4 linked regions of the Schizosaccharomyces pombe genome follow. The protein of the gene in region 2 purifies or fractionates together with the protein of the main gene of each other region. This does not show direct contact. Each region holds a gene or a part of one and is shown on either strand. Other genes may lie near its edges. The genes, in order: ste20, tor1, wat1 and sin1.

Region 1 (7,136 bases), 600 kb from region 2:
TGATTTTCTTAAAGAATGAGAAGAAATCAAGCTTAGACGAAGTAACCTGTATGTCACATTGTACATAGCAAGAAAAAAAAAAAATCAATAATGTTCCATAGAAATAAACCCTTAAACGTACTTCCTTCTTTTGTCTATTAAACAAATCCGAAAACCTATCGAGTTATGTAGTCAAAAGAGTGTAAAAACCCAAATATATATATATATATTTTTTTTCAAATTATATTTATAAATTTATTTCCTTTTTTTTAAAGAATAATCTTCTTCCTTGCGAACAACCAAAACAAATTAAAACCAAATGCGATGTTGTATGAGATTTACTTGTGAGCAGAAATATGCCCAAACTCCACGATATGTTAAGCAAATACACTTTCGTTTAGTTATATAGGATTTGCTAATTTACTATAACATGAGGCTGCCGTTCGTTGCATACGTTGTATGTGGAAGTTGAGCATAACTTGCTAAGCATGGGTATTACATATAAGTACACCTTTGTGGTACGCAATTTTTATATTGATAATAACAGCGTACAAAGTAAAAATTAGCACGAAAAGATGAAAGGCAATATATTCTTGTTCATATTACTATCGTATGGAGGCCAGGGGCTAAGCAGGCCTACCTAAACTACACAAATTCAAAAAAATATCCGCAAGTATCAGACATGTCTTATAAATATTAGATTAATAATTTAAACATCCAAAAACAATTATAAACTCATTACTAACCCTAGCGCAATCACCTTTTATGTAAACACTAGTCTAACTTAGTAAATAAACTTATGAAAAGAAACAAAGAGGGAAGGTCAAAGAATAAGCAGAAAACTAAAGATCAAACTTATTGAATAACAGAAGAAAAACGATAATAAGAAATCATAAAAATCATTAATTTACAAAAATTTTAGAAAAGTGAAGGTTCGGAAATTTGGAGTTCATGCGGAAATTGACAAATTATTCGGCCTGGACGGGGATTCATTTAAGTCCTGTGAGGTTGAGGAAGACAATAAAACCGAGTAAGGAAATAATTCAAATACAAATTGTTGAATCTGAACACGGTAATGGAATTTTCCCAGAATGGTCATACAAGCTTTCACCAAACGTTTAGAGGAGAAAACTTTAGCATTTTTCGAACGAATCTTTGTTAGTTGCCGTGCTGACTCGTTTGTTAAAACATGGTTTGACAAATTGGAAACGAGCCTAATTACCTCTCTCTCTGAGTTAGTTAAAGAGCTAAGTAATGAAGAAAACTCAGGAGTTGGCACGCGCTCATTTACAAACTCAACATTTCTCCTTGGAGTTGATAATACTTGTCCAGCATGTCTCGGAATGCAAATTCCTTGTGAAGTGCCCATTAAAGACATAAGGCTATACCAATGCAGTGATTCGAGTATCTCAACGCCTTTAGAAGTCCTGGAAATCAAGCCTAATACAAAATAAGCAGTTCCTCGAACAGTAGGAATCAATGAATTTTCGGCATATTTGACAATCAACGGTATCGTATCATGGTTAATTAAAAACGTAATACCCTGATCGGTTTTTCCAATGTTTCCTATAGCCCAAAGAGCACTCTTTAACTGCCTGATGGCTTCATTTCCTAACGGTTTATCGTAAAATTCCACCAAGGTACCCATAAAAGATTCAAAATGCCCAGAAGACTCGAGAACCTCACAACCTTGTGGAGATTTGACTAATTCGCCATAAAAGTGTAGGGGAAGTATATTTTCATCTGGTTCATTGTTTTTCTTGTCAATAATTTTGAGATTTGAAACAAAAGAAAGGAAAAAATTTTGCTCCAATAAATCCACGTAATCTATATTTCGATGATGGTACCAATTATCGAGTTCATGTTCAATAAAATTAATTTCAGAAAGGTAATGAAATCCGACAGTTGTAGCAAGAAAACGTAAAAGTAAAGGTGAGCCAATTTCACCCAAATGGGCCAATGAAGGTTGAAGCTGAACAACTTGAGCCAGCAAGTTTTCATTTCGAGCACAAACTTCATTCAACACCTTCACTGCTGTTTTACATACTTCCAAGCAAGGATCGTACAGTTGAAATATCAATAGAGAAATTGCCCAGTGATTTAAGTTGTCATTGGCAGACTCAGAATTGATTAAAGCCGCAAGATGCTTGGTTGCAGTTAAGCGTACAGCCTGTTGCCCGGTATTAAGCGCCTTAGAAAATATAATTCGTGTGTGCCCCTCTAGCCGATAATCAAGATTAGTCAGAAAAATAATTATGAGATCGTCTCTGTTCCTCAATTCTGTCAAATGGTAAAGTGTAGTAAAAATCCTCCATCGTTCCATAATTGCATGACCTTCCTTTTGGCTTGACAATACTTTTAACATAGGAAAGTAACCGTGGGTGAGGGTTTTCTGAAGCCTACTGTTCGAGAAAATCGGCTCAGAAACCTGTTCTGAATATCCGTCTATCTGGCTAAGAGATTCTGCTATTTGTTTAATCACTTTGCTTTCAGAAAGATATTTAACGCCTTCCGGATTGGCTAGTAAAGTCCTGAAAACAAGACAACCAACCTTTATAAATTTTTGATTTGGTTTAGTGTTTTGTATGGAAGAAAATCTGTTGGAAAAGGGTTTATAAAATGCTAAAAGCCGTCTCATAAATTTTGTGGTTCGCAAAGTTTCATCAATACGTTTCGGACTTAGCAATGGACCCTCCATAATTTGGACAAGTGTATCCCATCGCCATTTTTGATAGTTTTTTGTAGCTAACACGTTGGTTTCAGCTAGCATACTACGAAAATGTGAATCATCAATCTGCATGCCCATTTTCAATTTAACATGCTCAACCTGTCTTTGCCCCCGAAAAGATCCATCAGTTTTTTGCTCCTTAAAAAGAAGAGAGGTTGTCTGCGAGAAAGGTTGTGTTGCAGAATGGAATTTAACTCTATTCAAACTTTCAATGGATTGAAGAACAGAAGTGGCAACAAACCTGTCTTCGGCAGTAAATTGAGAAGCCATATTAAATAAAGATGGCAAGGATTGTATTTTGGCTCCTAAATGAATCGGCAGTAGCTCATCAGACAGCCTCAATACCTCTCCTAGAAGATATGTAGCTTTACGTGAGGCTGATGGGTCATCGCTGGCCCTAATCATACATACAATAGATTCAACCAAACCGAGCTCCAAAAATATAAATAATAAGACGGCTGTAAAATGTTGGCGTAGCGACATGTACTTTTTGTTGGAACCATCCGGTATATTAACCATGTTTATGTTATCATCATTAGATACAGCCTGATTTTTAACGACTGTTAATCGTTTTCCGGCCAAAAAAGACTCTGACCAACTTGAATACTCAACTTGGAAAATTAAAAAGAAAAGATCAATTACATCGCTTCGTGGAGCAAAGGATGGAACCCGAAGTGTATCAACAATCGACCGAAGAGCCTGAAAATCATTGGTAGACAAAGCCAATAATCCAGACCATGAATTAAGCAAAACAGAGGCAACTTTGGCGGAAGATTTCATGGCTTTTGCAGCTTGTTCAGACTGTTCCTCAGAGGAATTAAATGTATCTCGCGAAGAAGAACTAGTAAAAGGTGAAAGTAAAATGCCAATATCGTAGGGTAAATTTACGTAACAAGCGCTTTCAGGATCATCCAAAAGATATACTAATGCAAGTGCAGCACTAGCTGCTAAATTCTCAGAAATACTTCCATCGATTAGGGAGATCATTAAAACCCTTAAACCATTAGCTTTAAATAAAATTTTTGGTCGAATAATCATTAACTCGATAAGAGTTTCAACAGCAATTCCACGACTAACATCTGATACATGCTCACAAATTGAAATGATAGTCCTCGTAATACCTGAAAGATAATCCTCATGTCCTTCAGTTGATGAAAGAAAATAAAGAGTTCGGATTAGTCGGAATGCTTGCTCTCGTTCAATTTGATATGCATCGGTACCAGAAAGTAGAGACTTTGACAAGATCCAAGGTAAATTCAACATTTGACAACAAGAGAATGCTGTTGCGTCAAGAAACAAATGCCTTAGTAGTCTATAAACAGAAGCCGTAACTTCAGAGACATTCAACTCGAGCATTGAAAGTATGGTCGGAGTAATCAAGGAGAAGTTTTTTGCATAAGCGGGATCAGAATGTTCATGTAAGTATTCACATAAATTATTTGAGGAATCGATTACATCCTTCATACTGCCTTCAAGACAAGCCTTATATATATTATCAAGCCAAGGATTTAATGGAAATTGTGAGAAATTCGATTGCAAACTAGAAGGACGTTTTCCGTTAGGTTGAGTATCTTCAGAAGAAGAATTATTTTTTTCGTTGACATTTTCAAAGTCAATTCTTTGAATGACGGTAGGAGTTAAATTGCTATGCGCATTTCTGGTAGGACCTATTAATTCACCAGTCCCACTGACTGTAACACTGCAACTATCGCTACATCCTGCTTTGTAAGAAAATCTCGTACTATACTTTTCCTGCAATGAGCTCTTTCGACTGACAGTCGCAGAAGCAGACCTCGTGAGACTGGTTGAGCCAGTTTTTGCTTCACCATTTTCTCCTTGGAAAGATTCAATGCTAGAAACTAATTCCTCTATCTTTTTTTTAGATGATTCGAGCTCATCGGTACATTTCTTTTTTAACATTTCTTTACGTTCTTTTGTTTCTTTTTTAAAATTGGTGTCGAAGACTTGCAGCAACGTTTCAGCGCCATCCCGTATTTTGCACTCAACTTCGAGCTTTCCCTTCAAATCCTCAAGTAACTTGAGCCTTTTTGAATCAGTGGTATTCATTTTTTTGATAAAGTCACCATTAGTTTTGGCATGGGAACTTATATCCAAAGCAGTATCGGTTTGTCCCCTTCGCACAGGTTTCATGAGCACTGATCATTAAAAGCAGGAATAAAAAAGCTATCTCCTTCCATAAGCGCCTTCATGAAATAGCCTTATAAAGGGATAGTATGTTTTCGTACTAATACTTATTGCGTGCAACACGCGATTGCTTACTGGGCTAGTCAAACTCTCAATTTTTAAGCAATCTAGTAAAATTAAAGATATTAACACTTAAATAATAACTTAAGATTGTGAAGAGTCCTAAAATGATAATGCTTGCGAACTATGCTCGTATGCTCATGGATACCCCAACGGCTGAACTTAATCGGAGTTCTGTTACCGGCGTTAACGATTGTACGACATGGAGTGATGTTTCGCTATTAATGGGCAAAACAAATTTCCTTAGAATTCGCTAATAAATAATTAGATACTAGGTACTGGTTCACTAAAGAATCGAATCCTTAATGTTTACTTTACAGTCTCAAGATTGCTAGTTAACAGTATACGAAAACATGAAGGATAAATCAAAGCAAGAGAATAAGATGAGTAAATTATATTACTACAATCAACTATTAAAATTTGTTTATATTTTTATTTATGGAAACAAAAGGCTAAACAAAAAATGTTTTAACAGATATGCCCAAGCCAATATAGAATTAAAATGCCATTTTGAGATACAAATATTGCTTTCGAAACATTTCAAAAAAGATTTTTTTAAAACGAAACGATAATAAAAAAGACAGAAAAGAATCGAAAATAATGTGAAAAGATAGTAAACAAAAAAAAAATTTTAACGAAAAAATAAATATTGGTAACGTGGATAAACAACTTCATTCATTTACCAAATCTCCTTTATGTATTTAAGGTTAAGTGGACTTTGCCAAAGAGCAAGTTGTTGGGTAGCTTCCAGCCTGCTCATTTTTCCGTATTGAACGCAAACATCAATCAAGGCATTTTCAACACCATCTAAAAATCCCTTTTTACCACCACAAAGATAAACCTTCCCATGAGGATGACTAAGAACACTCCATACAATGTCACCACGGTGTCGAATCTCGTCCTGTACATAGGCATGTTGGTGAGAACGTGATTCAACAACAAGATGGTTGGGGCCACTAGTACCGTCTTTTTTAACTTCGAAGGAATCCATTTCAGTTTCGGTTTGTTGGCTGACTGTAGAAGATGCATCATCGTCTGAAGACTTTTGAAGCGGGTTTTCCCACTCACCATGATAGAGCTCATCCAATTCTTGGTCGCGGCATCCATGGAAAACCCAAACTTTACCAGCACAAGTGGCATTTGTAAGACGTCGTTGCACAAAACCTCTAAAGGGAGCAACACCTACACCGGCACCGATTAGGCACATAGGGCCATCAGAAGCAAAATGTGTGGCAAATGCGTTTTTGTGCAGACCGCGGTACATTGGAAGGACGAGATCTCGTTCACCATTTAAAAATCTCAATGCCAATCTTTTCAAAAAACCAGAACCAATACCAGAACGAGTGCCTCCTTCAACTTTATTGATTTCAACAACTGTAACCGCAAATTCCAATACATTATTACTGACCTTGGGATCGTTTGACAAAGAATACCATCTAGGCATAAGCTGGGGAAGCACGGTTAAAAGGTGATCAAGAGGAAGTTGAACACTAGGGAAAGCCTTTAGCAGAGTGATAAGTGTAACGTTGTGGTCCCTTAAATCACAGAAAGCACGTTGTCCCAAACGACTGACCAAAAACAACAAAACTTGCCGCTCGGTATCATCCTTGGCGTATTCGGCAAGTAACCGAATAAGCTGCTTTTTTGGGGCGACAGACATAAACTCCACGGTCCATTTAAGAAGCTCACGCCTGGTTGTAACGAGTTCTCTAGGTGTGTCTTCTGCCCAGATGGTGGGCCAACGACCTCCATCGGTTTTTAAAAGGACAGGGGCATCTGCCTGGTCGGGATTGATATGAAGTAATTGTAAAAGCTCATCCACATCCTCTTCGTTGTTGGGAGCCATTACACCAAACGACCCTCCAACCATCCACTCTTCGCCTTCAGGAAGGGGATAGTTGGAAACGTCTAGTTCAAAATGGAACACACGTTTGACAGCACCTGGTTTAGTGAGCTCACGAACGTCTAGTATAGGGGCGGGAAAGACACTGAACGGAGGGTGTGGTTGAACATAGTGAGGAGGCATTCTAGAAGGAGTTGAATGAATTTGAAAGTTGGGGTCTTCTTTGGCACGAGCCTCATCGATATCAATCAAAGAGACATGATTCTCGGGAACTTTGGGAATTCTGTCAAGAGTAATATTTTCATGTAGAAGACCTAGATC
Region 2 (4,684 bases):
ATTATCAAGGGAAAATGCTTTCAACATACAAGATAATATTTGAGGCAAGTAAAATTTAAATTCATCCTGCAGTGCAATTGCTATGGCATCGATGAGTTCAAGAATAACTAGCAATAGAGATGTGGTAGATTCCCAAAAGACTTTTGAAAGATTAAAAATATCAGATACATAATCCCTAATGTTTGGTCCAATAATAGAAGTTAAAGTCGTTAACTGCTGAAAATAAAACTCAGCCGAGGAAGCCGATAAGGATTGCATTACTTGTAGAAACGTTGGTACCACTTGAGGTAAAAATACAGTAGATTTAGATCCCATTTGAGAGCAAATATGCATCACTGCTTGAACAACAGAAGAGTGATGCATAGAGAGCGAACTGTCTTTTAAAATACCTATCAAAGTGACAACAGCAACCATAGCGTAGTTTTCCAATGACGGGTACTGCGCGGCACTAATTTGAGGTACACCATGGGCATTATTATGACTACTTTGTAAATCATCTGAAACTTCCTCAGTAGTTAAATACGTATATGGATCTAAAGCACCTAACACACCTAATGTTCTCAGTACTTCTCTTCTTATCGGTGTTGGTTGTTCTGATTGCAAAATACCAATTAGCGCGCCCAACAAAGGAGGGTAATCTAAATATGGCTGAATTACATAACCTGAACGACCACAAAGTTTTCGTAAACATTTAAGAGAAGCAAGTCGCTTCAATGTAGAGCTTTGATCCTGTAAATTCACAAGTATTAACTTCATGAAGGAACCACGAACATCCACAGGCATATCTTCTCCTTCAACACTTGCGAGTTCACCTAAAGCTGATATAATGGCAGATGAAACTCCAGGACTCGTATCTGCTGCTTTCGGTAATATTACATGAATGATCGATTGGATATATGGCTTAATGAGTGTTCTAGCTTTGGATACCAGTAATTTGAGAAGCTGTGCGCTTTCTTCTTTTTGACGACTATTACCCGAATATTCCATGTCAGATAATAACTGAATAATAGTTTTTCGTAGCGATGGCATCACATGGGCCGGATTATACAATGCAAGCCTTCCTATAATAATGATAGCAATTTCTCTGATTGAAAAAACTTCATCATTCAGAGCGATAAATAAGCAACGAATATTATCAGGATGTGCCAAATGCCGATCAAATCTTTCATCTAGTAATGAGAGTACGGTTTCCCTAATTTTTGGATCACTATCTGCAATTCCAAGGGTTAATAGCTTTTCAAGCACCTCAGCGACTGATTCAACAGCCAAAGGATTTGTTTTTCTACATATCGGATCTCTGGCAAAAACCTGACAGCAAGTTCGTGCAGCAGCAATACGGATCTCTGAATTATCATTTTCCAAGTAAGATAAGACAGATTCTTGGATGAAACTAATTAATGAATAACCAGTAAAATTAAAAGTACCCAAAGTTTCTAAAGCCAAAATAATTGATTCCGTGCTTTTACTTCTTTGGTCAGGTTCCCTAGCAGAGTATATATTAGTGAAACTGGGAGTATATGTGTCATTAGTACGAATTTCAAAGTTTTTTCCAGTCAAAATTTGACTAACCATATTCAATAATCGTTCTTGAATAGGAGCCAAAAGAGGAGGGATGTTTTCTGCCATTTTCACAAGAGCTTGACGCAAGTGAACGCTCAGTTCGCAAGAAAAAATCAGACCAAGTAGACTTCGAGAATCTTCAAGGAGTTCAAGCTTTACAGCAGCAGCCAACATGCCAATGCATTCAAAAACAGGCTTTTCATATTGCGTTTTTTCACGTACTTTTGCTGTCAATGTATCCCTTATTACTTTTAAAATATTCTGTAAATAAGGAATCATTGCTTCATTGACTGCCATGGCTATTCTTCCAATAGCTTCAAAAGCTAAAGACTTTTCCTTGTCTTTCCTGATATGGGAAAGTAAGTAAACCATAAAAGAATCTAAATAACGCTGTTGAAATTTTTTGGGGTTATATTCAGACAATGTAGGCAGTAAAAATACTATGCAGCGTCTGATAGAGTTATCTCTATGCTCTCGTAAACGAAGCGCCAAATCACAAAATTCTGTGTAATGTTCACGAATAAAAGAGCCAGATTTTTCGAAAAGCTCTTTGTATGCGAGAAGACTTCCATGCAGATATTCCACACTCGACTGTCGTAAACCATGTTCAGCTTGAAGCAGAACTTCATTAAAACACTGCAATTGAACTTTAGCTTCTCTTTGACAAACCACGTCTAAAGAAGCACCCAAAGCATCAGCAGCAGTTTCCCGAATAAGAGGCTTTGGATCACGCAATCCAGTCCACAAATTTTGGAAAATTTCACTAATATACAAGTAAACTAAGGTAGGAGAATTTTGTGCTAAAGCCTTAATAATTAAAATAGCCGCCATCCGTTTTTGCTCTTGACGGTCTCCTTGAAGCCACTCGAAAGCACGCTGAACTTCAAATTCAACGAATTCGGCTGCAAGGGTACCACCAGACGCAGCCAAATGACCAAGAACCTTCGCAGATAGTTCCATCGAATGCCAATCCGTACTAGGAAGGGTCATTCGTAAGTAATTTGCATACCGCGAAAGATTAGTAACATCTCCCTCACTTTCGAATTCAATTAGCTTGCCTATCGCAAGGATTCCTCCAAATCTTTCGTGGGAATCATGGCTATGAATAAGCTCAAAAATTCGACGATTGATATCGTTATTGAAACGCGCAAGGGATTCACCTGATAATTCCTTAGTAGAACTATGTACAAATTCTTTTAATTGATCAGCGGCTGCTAGTTGAATGCTTTCATTTTTGTTTTTTAGATCACTAAAATACTCCATGAATCAAAGAGAGCGAGTGAAACGATAGACTTTCTAATAGTCGCGGTGTTCAATTCTTCCACTTAGGCATTCATCACAATGTCTACGGAAAGCAAACAATTCAGTATTAGGTTGACCGGAGAGGTATTGGCCTTCCAGTTTGATTAAATGAACTTTATATATGTTCAGATTAATATAATTTCTTAGTAACTTCTCCGAGATATGGAAAAGGTTAAAAGTTAACAACTTATGACATTAAATGTCATGTCAAAATTTCTAAGGTATTCCAACGTGAAATCGTTCAAAAAACATAACATAGCACATTATAATCCTTTAAGTATATGGAGCACTTTTTGTACACAGAAATAAATTCGTTTTTATTTGCTCGTCATTTTTATTTTGCACGAGCGCATGGCTTAAACGTTTTTTTTATGAGGAGTTCTGAATCAATCCATAAATATTTGATTCTTTAAAAAGTTGTTTGAGTTTTTCCAAGCTAGCCCACTGTTATTTTTCTTTGTTTGGTTGATTTCCCGACACTTACACCACTAACGCGTGCGGTTATCATACTGTAAACAAATGATGTTAAAGACATGAGACCTTTCTTTCTTTATTCTCTTGTTTTTTTATTTGGTTATATAACTTCTAGTTTGTCTTTAGTTAAGCGCATTCATTCTTGTTTGGCATACATTGTATCTGGTGGCCGTCTTTTCACCAAGGTTCCTTCATACGTACTACTGTTTACCGTTTTAGGATTTTTTATTTTCATTCTTTTAGAACGAATCGCTGAATCCGAAGCTCGTAACTCAACGTCAGTTAGCGGTGGCATTTCTGCAAGGGAACAGCTTTTACGTCGAGGAAGTTTTTGATTTTACAACTTGAGTTCTAAACACCGGAGAGAGCAGTATCATCTCCTGTTATATTTTTCTTAACAAAAGTTTTTTGTATGCTTCTAAAGTCTGTTATTACTTGTTTGTCTTTTTTATTAAACACTTCGGAATTGACTTCAGAGCATTCAATATTATATTTCAAATGTCTACCACAACCATGAATATAGCTTCGGCTCCAATTGAAGTGAAACGGATATATTGGCCCAAAAGTACGATCTCTTATACCGATTCTGGTTACTTAGTTGGTTGGAAGTACTCTACCAACGATCTTATCGTTGTGACAACAATTACTAGTTATCAATCCTTCGCTAATTTTTTAGTTGATTATTGCAAAAATCAAGATCAATCAGTAGATATTAAATCTCTGTGTATATTAGGCACGTTTAATTGCTCTGCCGATATTTTGCCGGGTGACAAATATGAAATTGATTGTTGGATCAAAGTGCAGCAATCGACTGAGCTTTCTCATCCCCGAGTTTTCGATTCGGCTAGTACGCCTTTAAAAATAAATCTGCATATAATTTATTATCATCCTCCGCAGCCAAGAAAAATGCAATTTCTTTCCCTTGAACCTCTATCGCTTTTATTGTTAAAAGATAGTTTTATTAACAAGTCAAACCCTGAATACGAAAGCATGCAACACCAGCAAATACTGTTAAAAAAATTGAAATTGCACTTTCCCCGACGCAAAGAAAATAGCTGGAAAAGGAGTCTACGCTCAGGCTTAATTGAGCTTCTTAATCAATCCTTCGAGGTTCGCATGTTAACACATGAAAATAATAACAAAAAAAATTCATATGTTTTTCGACTTTTTGATCGTGTCTCGTCATCAACCTTTTATTTTTTTAATTCGCTGTTTGCTTACTTTATCATATTATTGAGGATAATTAATGAGGTTATACTCTTGGCGATTAATTACCGACCGATTCCTTTATCTTATAATATGATGGATATTTTCGTTTCTGCTCGTCAAGTAGATTTGAGGTTGCAAC
Region 3 (3,708 bases), 1.4 Mb from region 2:
GAGAATGGTAGGTCCCAATCGATCATCGTAAGGACCACTTCCGCGTCGTCGAATAGCAGATGCTCTCCAGTGGTAAATACCAAGAGCATAACCCATGGTACCAATAGCAACAATAGTGAAAAGTCCTGCACTAATCTTACCAATTCGATCACCAAAGTTAAGTAAACCAACTGACAAACCACCCAAAACTACTGCAAAGCTCAACCAAGAAAGGAAAGTACGTTCATTAGCGAAAAAAACTTTAGGTTCAACACGAACAGGAAGAGCAATTCTTTTACCAGGAGTAGTTTGTAAAAGAGGTTGAGTAGACATTGTTAGTGGAAAGAGTGAGCTATAAATCGAAGGTTTTTTCTCCTCGCGAGATTAAGTATGTGCTGGCTGTGAGTTGTGGTTAAGGTCAGCTGTGTCGAACGGCCTAGAAATTTTTTTCGTATCTTACTACGGTAAGTCTCGGTAAGTTAATTAGCAGATTTAGCGAGACTAAATTCTTCAAATTTTGCATTATCAAATTCGCTTCTTCGCTAACCAGAAAGCTAATGAAGATATACATTTCATTTCATTTAAGGACACGAGGATATGTAACTTTTCCTACTTAATCCTATCATGTTTAGAGATAAAAGTTGTAAAATAAGTTAAACTACACTAATAAGCATTGAAAATTTTCAAAAGTTATCATCACTTAAGACTATTATTTATCATAAAAACTCCGAGATATGAAACTAGCAAATACTGTATCAAGGGAAGAATATAATTTATAAAAAATTTGTAAGTGACTAAGAAATCGTCTTGAAATCAGACACACTTAATATAAACGAATGTTGACAAGACAAGACTCTTGTTTTCCTAAGAAGATTGGTGAATAAAATCTATATAGCAAAGGTAAAATAGGATAAAGGCGTGTAATAAACTTGAATATATAGAAGTAATTTTCCAACATCAGTTGAGCTAAAAATACAACAAAACATAACTCGTAAACTTATTTTGAAAAATGCTTTGAAACACTTAAATTTGGTAGTCATTAAGAGCAACACAAACAGCAGCTTTGTGATGACCCGAATACTGACGGATTGTTTCACCACTCGATAACTCCCAAAGCCTTGCAACATGATCAGAAGATGCGGTTACTAAGTAGGTAGAATCAGCAGAAAACGCACAATCCCAAACCCATCTTTGATGCCCTTGAAGTCGTCTCTCAAGCATAAATGACATATCCTCCGTACTCCATATATTCACTGTAGCATCGGCAGAACATGTAGCAAGGTGTTTGACATCAGGAGACAAGACGCAGCGAGTGATATAACGCTGATGAGCTTGAAATTTGACAACGGGCTGAAGCAATGAAGCACCCTGATGATTTAGCATTCGCCAAACGTAGCAGTTTCCTTTGTTGTTCCCAGCAATAAGCATACTACCATCAGATCCAACAGTAATGCTGCTCATAGGTACATCTTCTTCCGGAATAAGTTCGTGTGTACAAGAATTCTCTCCTAAATCCCATGCACGAACTCGTCCACTTTGGTCGCATGAAAGCAGTTCACCTTGATTTGGATGAATTAACAAGTCATTAACAGGAGATTTATGATCATAGTTTCGCTGAACTGAAGGGGCTCTCATATCCCACACCTTTACTGTTCCATCCTCGCTCGATGTGGCAAGCCATTTACCATCACAATGAAAAGCGATGGCTGTAACATTATTGGTGTGCCCTTCAAAGGTCATTAATGGCATTTGACTACTAGTGTTTATGTCGTACAATCTTACATGAGGATTTCCGGCGGCTGCTAGAAACTTCTTATCAGGTGAAATACATAAACGATTTACCTGAGAGTCCGCATGTTGTATTGTTCTCGAGCATATTCCACTTAGGGCTTCCCAAAATCTAATGGTATGGTCATATCCACTGCTGACGAGCAGAACAGAATGTTGTGGTGGATACTGTACTGACATGTGGTTAAAGAATGGAGCGCTGTTATACTGTAGTTATTAAACAAACTCGAATACAGAGAGAATTAATGACTGAAAATTTTTAAAATCAATTAAATATGTTTATATTATATATTTAGTAAATTTTTTGTAGCATGACTTGTAAACGCACGATTGGCGATCTATACTTTAAATCTACAGCCATCAAAACTTTAAAAAATTTAACAGTTTTGACCATAAAAACAGGAAAATTCATAGAATAATAGTAAATTCATGTTAATTTAATTTTTTAAAAAATTGCGCCTGCAATAAGTAGCATAAGCATAAGTGTAAAGATAAACTGGTATAACTAAAATATTATACAGGACGAAAGGTTAAGGCAAATTTTTAAGCAACAAAGACATCATTGCTGAGTTGAACGACATTTAAACCTAGATAAATGTCGATTTGTAAATAGTTTATAATAACTATCCTAACTATTAAAACCAACAAGGTTCCGAAAGACGTATAACAGAAACGGACAATAATGGATAAAAAAGATCATAAAAGCAAAATATGGTTTAAAATTCTGAAAGCCAAAATTATTTACGCTTTCGGTGCATGTGTTGCAAGTTGAGAAGTAGTGCTCTATTAAAGTCCCATTCAGAGAGCAAATCTTTGAGCAGTAAACCAACTTGATCATATTCATCCATAGCATATGTCTGCATAGCTGTATTGTCTCCTTCTTGAATATATGAGCTGATAGACTCATGAGTTTCCATCATTACAGAGTGCAACTCGTTAAAAAGACTGCGCAAATTTTCTTTGCACATGATCCTGGGGAAAGGTTTGCTAGTAGTGTTATGTTGATTACGGTTGACCGATTCAACTGAAAACTTTAAGATGTCAACGAGACGAACCATCGACACAGACAATGCATTAGAGAGGTCACCTACCTCCCGGTGAACAATGAGCCATGAAGACCTTTCAGCTAAAAATGAATCAACCGGAAACGATAGTATGCAACATAGAACTTGCTTAGAGATTATAGTTAATTCATAATAAGCAGTTTTGATGTGATTGAGAATTTGGGTGGATTGGTCATCAAAGTCTTGGTTTTCTTTACGGGCTAGGTACATGGAACTCCGTTTTAAGCTTGTTGAGGAACCTTTTCGGAGGTCAAACGAATTTAATTTACCAAAGCAATTTGGAAGTCTATATAGTGATAATAGGTTTCTAAGGTTGGAAGCAGCTGCATACGGATATATTCTTGACAGAACCAGCTGGTATCTAGGTAAAAGCTTCTCATACAAACCAGACAGTTCGTAACTTAAAGTATTTTGTTCCGTAAGATTAAACAATAAAGGATCATTGGCAGGAAGGAAGTCCATTAACCGGGAGCGATTTGCTGCCGAATTTGCTTCCAATTCACAAATTTGGGAGTAAACACGATTAGATGTAGTTTCAAAATCATGCAATAGATTGACAAACTTATTTAAGCTGGATAATCCCATAATACGAATAAAATATGTCCAGCAATGACAAATCCGTATGAGCGAAGAGAAGCAAATATAAGATAAGGCTATTATCTTCACAAACTTTAGATAATGAAGACTTGCCATTGCAGATGATAATTTGTATAAAACAAAATCTATTACAATTTGTAAGCTCAGCAGATAGGCGAAGTATCTCCAAAACTTGCTCGTAGAACTGAACGATGAAGAAGGATAAACCAAAGAAGGCTGTTCTTCATGATGTGACCGCTGTAGCTCGTGATCTCCTACGAGGAGTTCAGATGTATAAATA
Region 4 (4,931 bases), on a different chromosome or scaffold from region 2:
GAACCGAGAGAATTGTAGGACTGATATCTACCGTTCAGATTCTATTCATGAATACGAAGAGCCACTTACGAGCTCCATCACCTCTTTAGATTCCCCTCATGTTCTTGACGAAAATGCTCCGATACCGCTTCTTCCAAAAGTGGTTTCTTTACCAGATCCTCGCTTTACAAATGTTCTTTCAGCCTTTGACGCTTTGACTAGGACATATTTGCTACGACAGAATTCTAAAGTTGTACATGCCACTAGTCAGAAACAAGAAATGCAAACTTCGCGGCGCGTTGTCAATTCTTGTTATATGCCAGAATCGTTATCGCGAAATTTGTCCAGTAGTTTGCAACAAACCGGCGGGAGTGGAAGATTGTTTGTCCGTCTTATGGAAATCAGAAACTTAACTATTCCTTTGGCATCGGGGATGACCACTAGGTTCACTTATACAATCTCTGGTAAGCACATTCAAGTACCATGGAACGCCTTACACTCTACTACTAAAATTGAAAATGAGTATACTTTTGATGAAAGTATTAGTTCTTCAATTGTATGTACGCTCCGTGCGGCTTACGATCCACCTAAGGTTCGCACTCGTTCTACACTTGGAAAAGTATTTTCAACAAATAAGAGAAAGTCTATGACTACCGACCCCGTTTCAGAAGCACTTCATGGATTTGTTTCTGAAGATGGAACTTTCGGCGAAGTTACCATTAACACTGATTCTGTAAGCCGAACCGCACTAGGCCGTTGTCAATCTATGGTTCTACCAATCATGAACAAATGGACTGTTGATCCGGCAGCTAAAGATGTCAAGCCTCTCCCTCGAAAAGTAGGAGAACTCGAAATCCACGTATTTTTCTTACCAGCGCTTCCTGTCTCTCTGAAAGAACTTCCCGCTTCAATCGAGTCTGCCATGTATGACTTAAAGCTTGCTGAATGGGATAGAACTTTATTGTGTGATGGTTATCTATGTCAACAAGGTGGGGATTGCCCTTATTGGCGTCGTCGCTATTTTCAATTAATAGGATCAAAGTTAGTAGCTTTTCAACAATTCTCTAAAGTTCGCAGAGCAACGATTGATTTGTCTGAAGCCACACATATCGTGGATGACAACCATTATAGTGATGAAGAAGAACTAGAAGGGTATCTGTATTTCGAATCGGGTTTCCGTATCATTTTCAGTAATGGGGACTACATCGATTTTTACGCTGAAACCGTCGGCGAAAAAGATGAGTGGATGTCTACACTTCGTCAGCATTTGGGGCAATGTTCAATGGTTCACAAAAATTGGACCAAATCATTTCTTTCGCTGAGTTTTTAAATTGACCATTTGCTTCGACCTCACTTTTTCTATTTAAATCACATTTGGTCTTTATCTTCTCCTTTATCTATATCGTCTTGCATTTTTCATTGGTTTTGTTGTTTCCCTCGCATAATACATAATGTTCATTTTATCTACCATCGAGAAGCTAGATTCGGTTGAAATGAGCTCGTTTTATATAAGCTGTTAAAAATCGGATAGCAATTACTTACTACTCCCCATGTATATTTATACTTCAGTTGCAAAATACTTCATTTTTGAAAGTTTCCCTTGATCCGAAGAAACGTTGTCAAAATAAGTTGTCTCAAAACGTTTATCTTGGCTTTGTAAATAAATCAAATTCCTTAAAATACTCTAGCTTGGCGTTGTCGAGTGAATTTATTAAGTCGTAAGCTTGCCATTTGAGAAACTTCAAAAAATAAAAATTCCACAATAATTTAATTACATTATTCTGTAAATAATTAATACCGTAATTGCTATATAGTTCAAATACCATTTTTAGCTGTTTCGCAATATCTAAAACGTATATGAGATCACTTTTTTTCATTGTCTAGCGTTTTTGTACTTCAGTTAATAACTGTTTGAATTAATAGTTTCGTTCATATTTTGCTGTCTTTTGAAATTTGGTGGTACTTTACGGTGTTACCCCCAACACTTAATTAAATGCTTAGCGGGGGATACATAGCAACTGAAATAAAGCACGCGGCGTCCGTCACCAACGTTTCACATAATTGAGTTTACAAATTTTCTATATTAAGGTGCCATAAAAAGTATGGTCGCTAAGTATTCAAACTTCGTTGAAATTAAATATTTTATAAAGTCTGTAAATGCGATATAATAAGGACTCAGAATGGAATTAACAAGAGAGAAAGTGTAAGGATACTATTTTTTTTCCTATGAAACTTATACAAACTAATACGTTTATTTTACAGTCTTTTGTTAACATTTTTGCGAATGCAATATTCTCATATACTTCCTGACTCAATCGAAAATCGAGTTATATCTACTGAGGCCCCGGAATGGGAATTGGACAAATCATTGCAAGACTTGTTGATTCATGATTATGATTATTCTAAAACTTCGTTTTCTTCAAGTCCCCCGATTGTCGCTAATGACACTGTATCCAATGTCCGAAAGCCGAGTGATACTAAACAAGTAAATGGTGCTGGGGGTCAAGTTAATCATTCTCGAGCTGAAGATTCTGATTATGCTACTTCTGACTTATCCGAATCTTCAGATGTGGGTGATGACGATAACTCGTGTATATTTTCTTTTAGCAAAGTCCCAATGCAGAAGGATGTTGCAAGTATAAAAGAAGAGGAAAGACTGGACCCCAAAATTTCCACATTAAATAATATTGATGCTATCGCAAATCTTAAGCTTACCAACATGGTAGAATCCTCGCAGGCAGTGAATTTAACCTCGTCCAAACAGTCTTCCATAAACCAGCAAAGCAGTGTTTCTACGGATTATGATGATCTACGGTCGATTTCTGAGGAATCATTTCATTTAAGTCAAGGAGAAATTCCTCTTACTTTTCCAATGAATTCTTCCTTAACTGACACTGAAGCTGATGCAGTTGTTGCGGTTGATGCTCTTTTTCCTGGTAAGCAACGCGGAACACACAATACAGTCAATAAAGCAAGATCTGTTTCGAACGCAAAGGCTCCTACATCTGCTCTTCGTGCATTACTTGAACATAAAGAAAACAGTAGCCAGAATGGGCCATTGGCTGAAAATTTTGCTACTTTTTCTGGACATGCAGAATCAAATGCCCTCCGTTTAAACATTTATTTTCCTTCGAGCGAAAGTCCTTCAAAGCCCTTATTTGTAGAACTCCGAAAGAATGTTTTGGTCTCTGAGGCTATCGGTTATATTTTACTTCAATACGTTAACCAGCAACTCGTGCCCCCAATAGAAGATGAGGCTCAAAATCCGAATTATTGGAATTTACGTATTGTTGAAGATGACGGGGAGCTAGATGAAGATTTTCCCGCTTTGGACCGTGTAGGTCCATTATCAAAATTTGGTTTTGACGCATTTGCTTTAGTTAAAGCCACTCCTGCCCAAATAAAGGAAAATCAAGCTGCCTACCCGTTTAAATCGAAGCATCCAACATCAATTCCTGAAGCCAATAACAAAACGCATATTCGGCATACTAGTTCAACTTCAAGTCAATCACAAAAGCAAGCTCAGGATGTCAAAGATACACTTAATACTTCTCATGTCGTACAGGTACGACTTCCCCCATACGGGGATAATGCTCGATTTTGCAATATTGAAATATCAAAAACTACTAGATTGGCTATGGTGTTGAACCAGGTGTGTTGGATGAAGCAATTGGAGCGATTTAAGTATACTCTGCGAGTTGCTGGATCTGATACTGTTTTACCACTTGATAAAACATTTAGTTCACTAGACGGAAATCCAACTCTAGAACTTGTTAAAAAGAAGGTACGCGATAAAAAAGGAAGTACCCAACAATTGCCAACCTCCTCACCACAAAATTCCGTTTATGGATCTATTAAGAAAGATGCACAATCTTCAACATACAATGCAACAGATATTATGTCGAGCAATACCTATCAAGAATTTCTTGTATGGAAACGACAACCTGTTTCATTTATGGGAAGACATGAGCGTCTACTAGCTATTGATGGAGAATACGTTCACATAATGCCGTCTGAATCCAAAAATATATTTGAAACGCCTAAGACGTCCAGTATACATGCTGGATCGATTATTTTATGCAAGCAGTCTAAAAAATCACCATGTAATTTTAAAATGATTGTGTCCAAGAATAGGGAAACTAAGCGGTAAGAAATTTTTTAACGCTAATAAGCTAACGAGTTCAGGTATGATTTTGAAGTTTTGTCCGCCTTGGAAGCTGCCATTATAGTTAGCAGGATACGTGCACTGATGAATACTGTTAAAAAAATAAATTAACATTTATTTATTACAAAAAGATTCTATGAATACATAGGTATAAACACCTTTGTTTTTTGGTATCACATTGCTCTCTCCCCTATGTCATTTTTATTAAACATCTTCAAAATCAGCTTCATCTTCATCGTCTTCATCGTCCTCATTAAATCCATTAATAATAACATTCTTTTTACTTTCTTGCATTTCCGTATCACCATCAGTAATACCATTTGTAGAAACAATAGGTGGTAATGAATTGTTTTCTTCTATCGATTTTGTTCTTTTATTTTGGATATCACTATCTGAATTTAGGTTCTCGGTTTTACGCTTGACCGACCCATAATCAGTACTTTTGTTTTGAAGAGAGGTAGCCGTCGTAACGTCTAAGAAGTCATCATCCTCCTCATCATCTACGTTTTCACTGTCCATAAACTCGCTTTCCTCTTTTTGCTTTGCACGAAGTGTTGCGTAATAAGCATCTAAGGCGCTCTTTTCAGAAGTAATATCTGTTTTAGTGTCTTGAACCTCATTAACAGTTTCAGTTCTAAAACTATGAAGTGCGGCATCTTTAGCTCCAGCACGAGTAATGGAGCCAGAAATTGTTGATGTTGCATGCCATTCGGGAAGAATGTTTTGAGCAGCTTTGACTTGCTTGTCGCAATTCCTTTCACGCTTTTCATCAGTCTCTTTATCAGCA

Evidence for each region.
Region 1: the proteins of tor1 (region 2) and ste20 purify together in Schizosaccharomyces pombe (affinity purification with western blotting; 7 studies listed by BioGRID, with this or other methods). This does not show direct contact.
Region 3: the proteins of tor1 (region 2) and wat1 purify together in Schizosaccharomyces pombe (affinity purification with western blotting; 7 studies listed by BioGRID, with this or other methods). This does not show direct contact.
Region 4: the proteins of tor1 (region 2) and sin1 purify together in Schizosaccharomyces pombe (affinity purification with western blotting; 6 studies listed by BioGRID, with this or other methods). This does not show direct contact.

The regions. Positions count from the first base shown.
Region 1 is NC_003423.3:2,473,861-2,480,996, reverse strand, and holds ste20 (target of rapamycin complex 2 subunit ste20), read right to left. Parts: upstream 5,119-7,136; 5' UTR 4,859-5,118; coding exon 929-4,858; 3' UTR 535-928; downstream 1-534. Other genes in the region: SPOM_SPBC12C2.01C (uncharacterized protein), read right to left, coding at 1-66; SPOM_SPBC12C2.03C (methionine synthase reductase), read right to left, coding at 5,652-7,136. UniProt on the Schizosaccharomyces pombe protein: Component of TORC2, which regulates multiple cellular processes to control cell growth in response to environmental signals. TORC2 is required for cell survival under various stress conditions.
Region 2 is NC_003423.3:3,074,100-3,078,783, reverse strand, and holds the start of tor1 (TORC2 serine/threonine protein kinase Tor1), read right to left. Parts: upstream 3,037-4,684; 5' UTR 2,824-3,036; coding exon 1-2,823. Other genes in the region: gpi1 (pig-Q), read left to right, coding at 3,835-4,684. UniProt on the Schizosaccharomyces pombe protein: Catalytic component of TORC2, which regulates multiple cellular processes to control cell growth in response to environmental signals. In response to signals, TORC2 phosphorylates AGC protein kinase family members.
Region 3 is NC_003423.3:1,661,186-1,664,893, reverse strand, and holds wat1 (TORC1/2 complex WD repeat protein Wat1/Lst8), read right to left. Parts: upstream 1,954-3,708; 5' UTR 1,948-1,953; coding exon 1,003-1,947; 3' UTR 534-1,002; downstream 1-533. Other genes in the region: vacuolar transporter chaperone (VTC) complex, GTPase regulator subunit Nrf1, read right to left, coding at 1-312; myosin-binding vezatin family protein Inp2, read right to left, coding at 2,505-3,708. UniProt on the Schizosaccharomyces pombe protein: component of both TORC1 and TORC2, which regulate multiple cellular processes to control cell growth in response to environmental signals. Nutrient limitation and environmental stress signals cause inactivation of TORC1.
Region 4 is NC_003424.3:4,745,517-4,750,447, reverse strand, and holds sin1 (MAP kinase-interacting protein Sin1), read left to right. Parts: upstream 1-2,020; 5' UTR 2,021-2,159; coding exon 2,160-2,182; intron 2,183-2,225; exon of another isoform or gene 2,226-2,241; coding exon 2,242-4,125; exon of another isoform or gene 4,126-4,164; coding exon 4,165-4,255; 3' UTR 4,256-4,348; downstream 4,349-4,931. Other genes in the region: mid2 (septin ring organizing protein), read left to right, coding at 1-1,309; transcription factor TFIIE subunit Tfa1, read right to left, coding at 4,349-4,931. UniProt on the Schizosaccharomyces pombe protein: Component of the mechanistic target of rapamycin complex 2 (mTORC2), which regulates multiple cellular processes to control cell growth in response to environmental signals.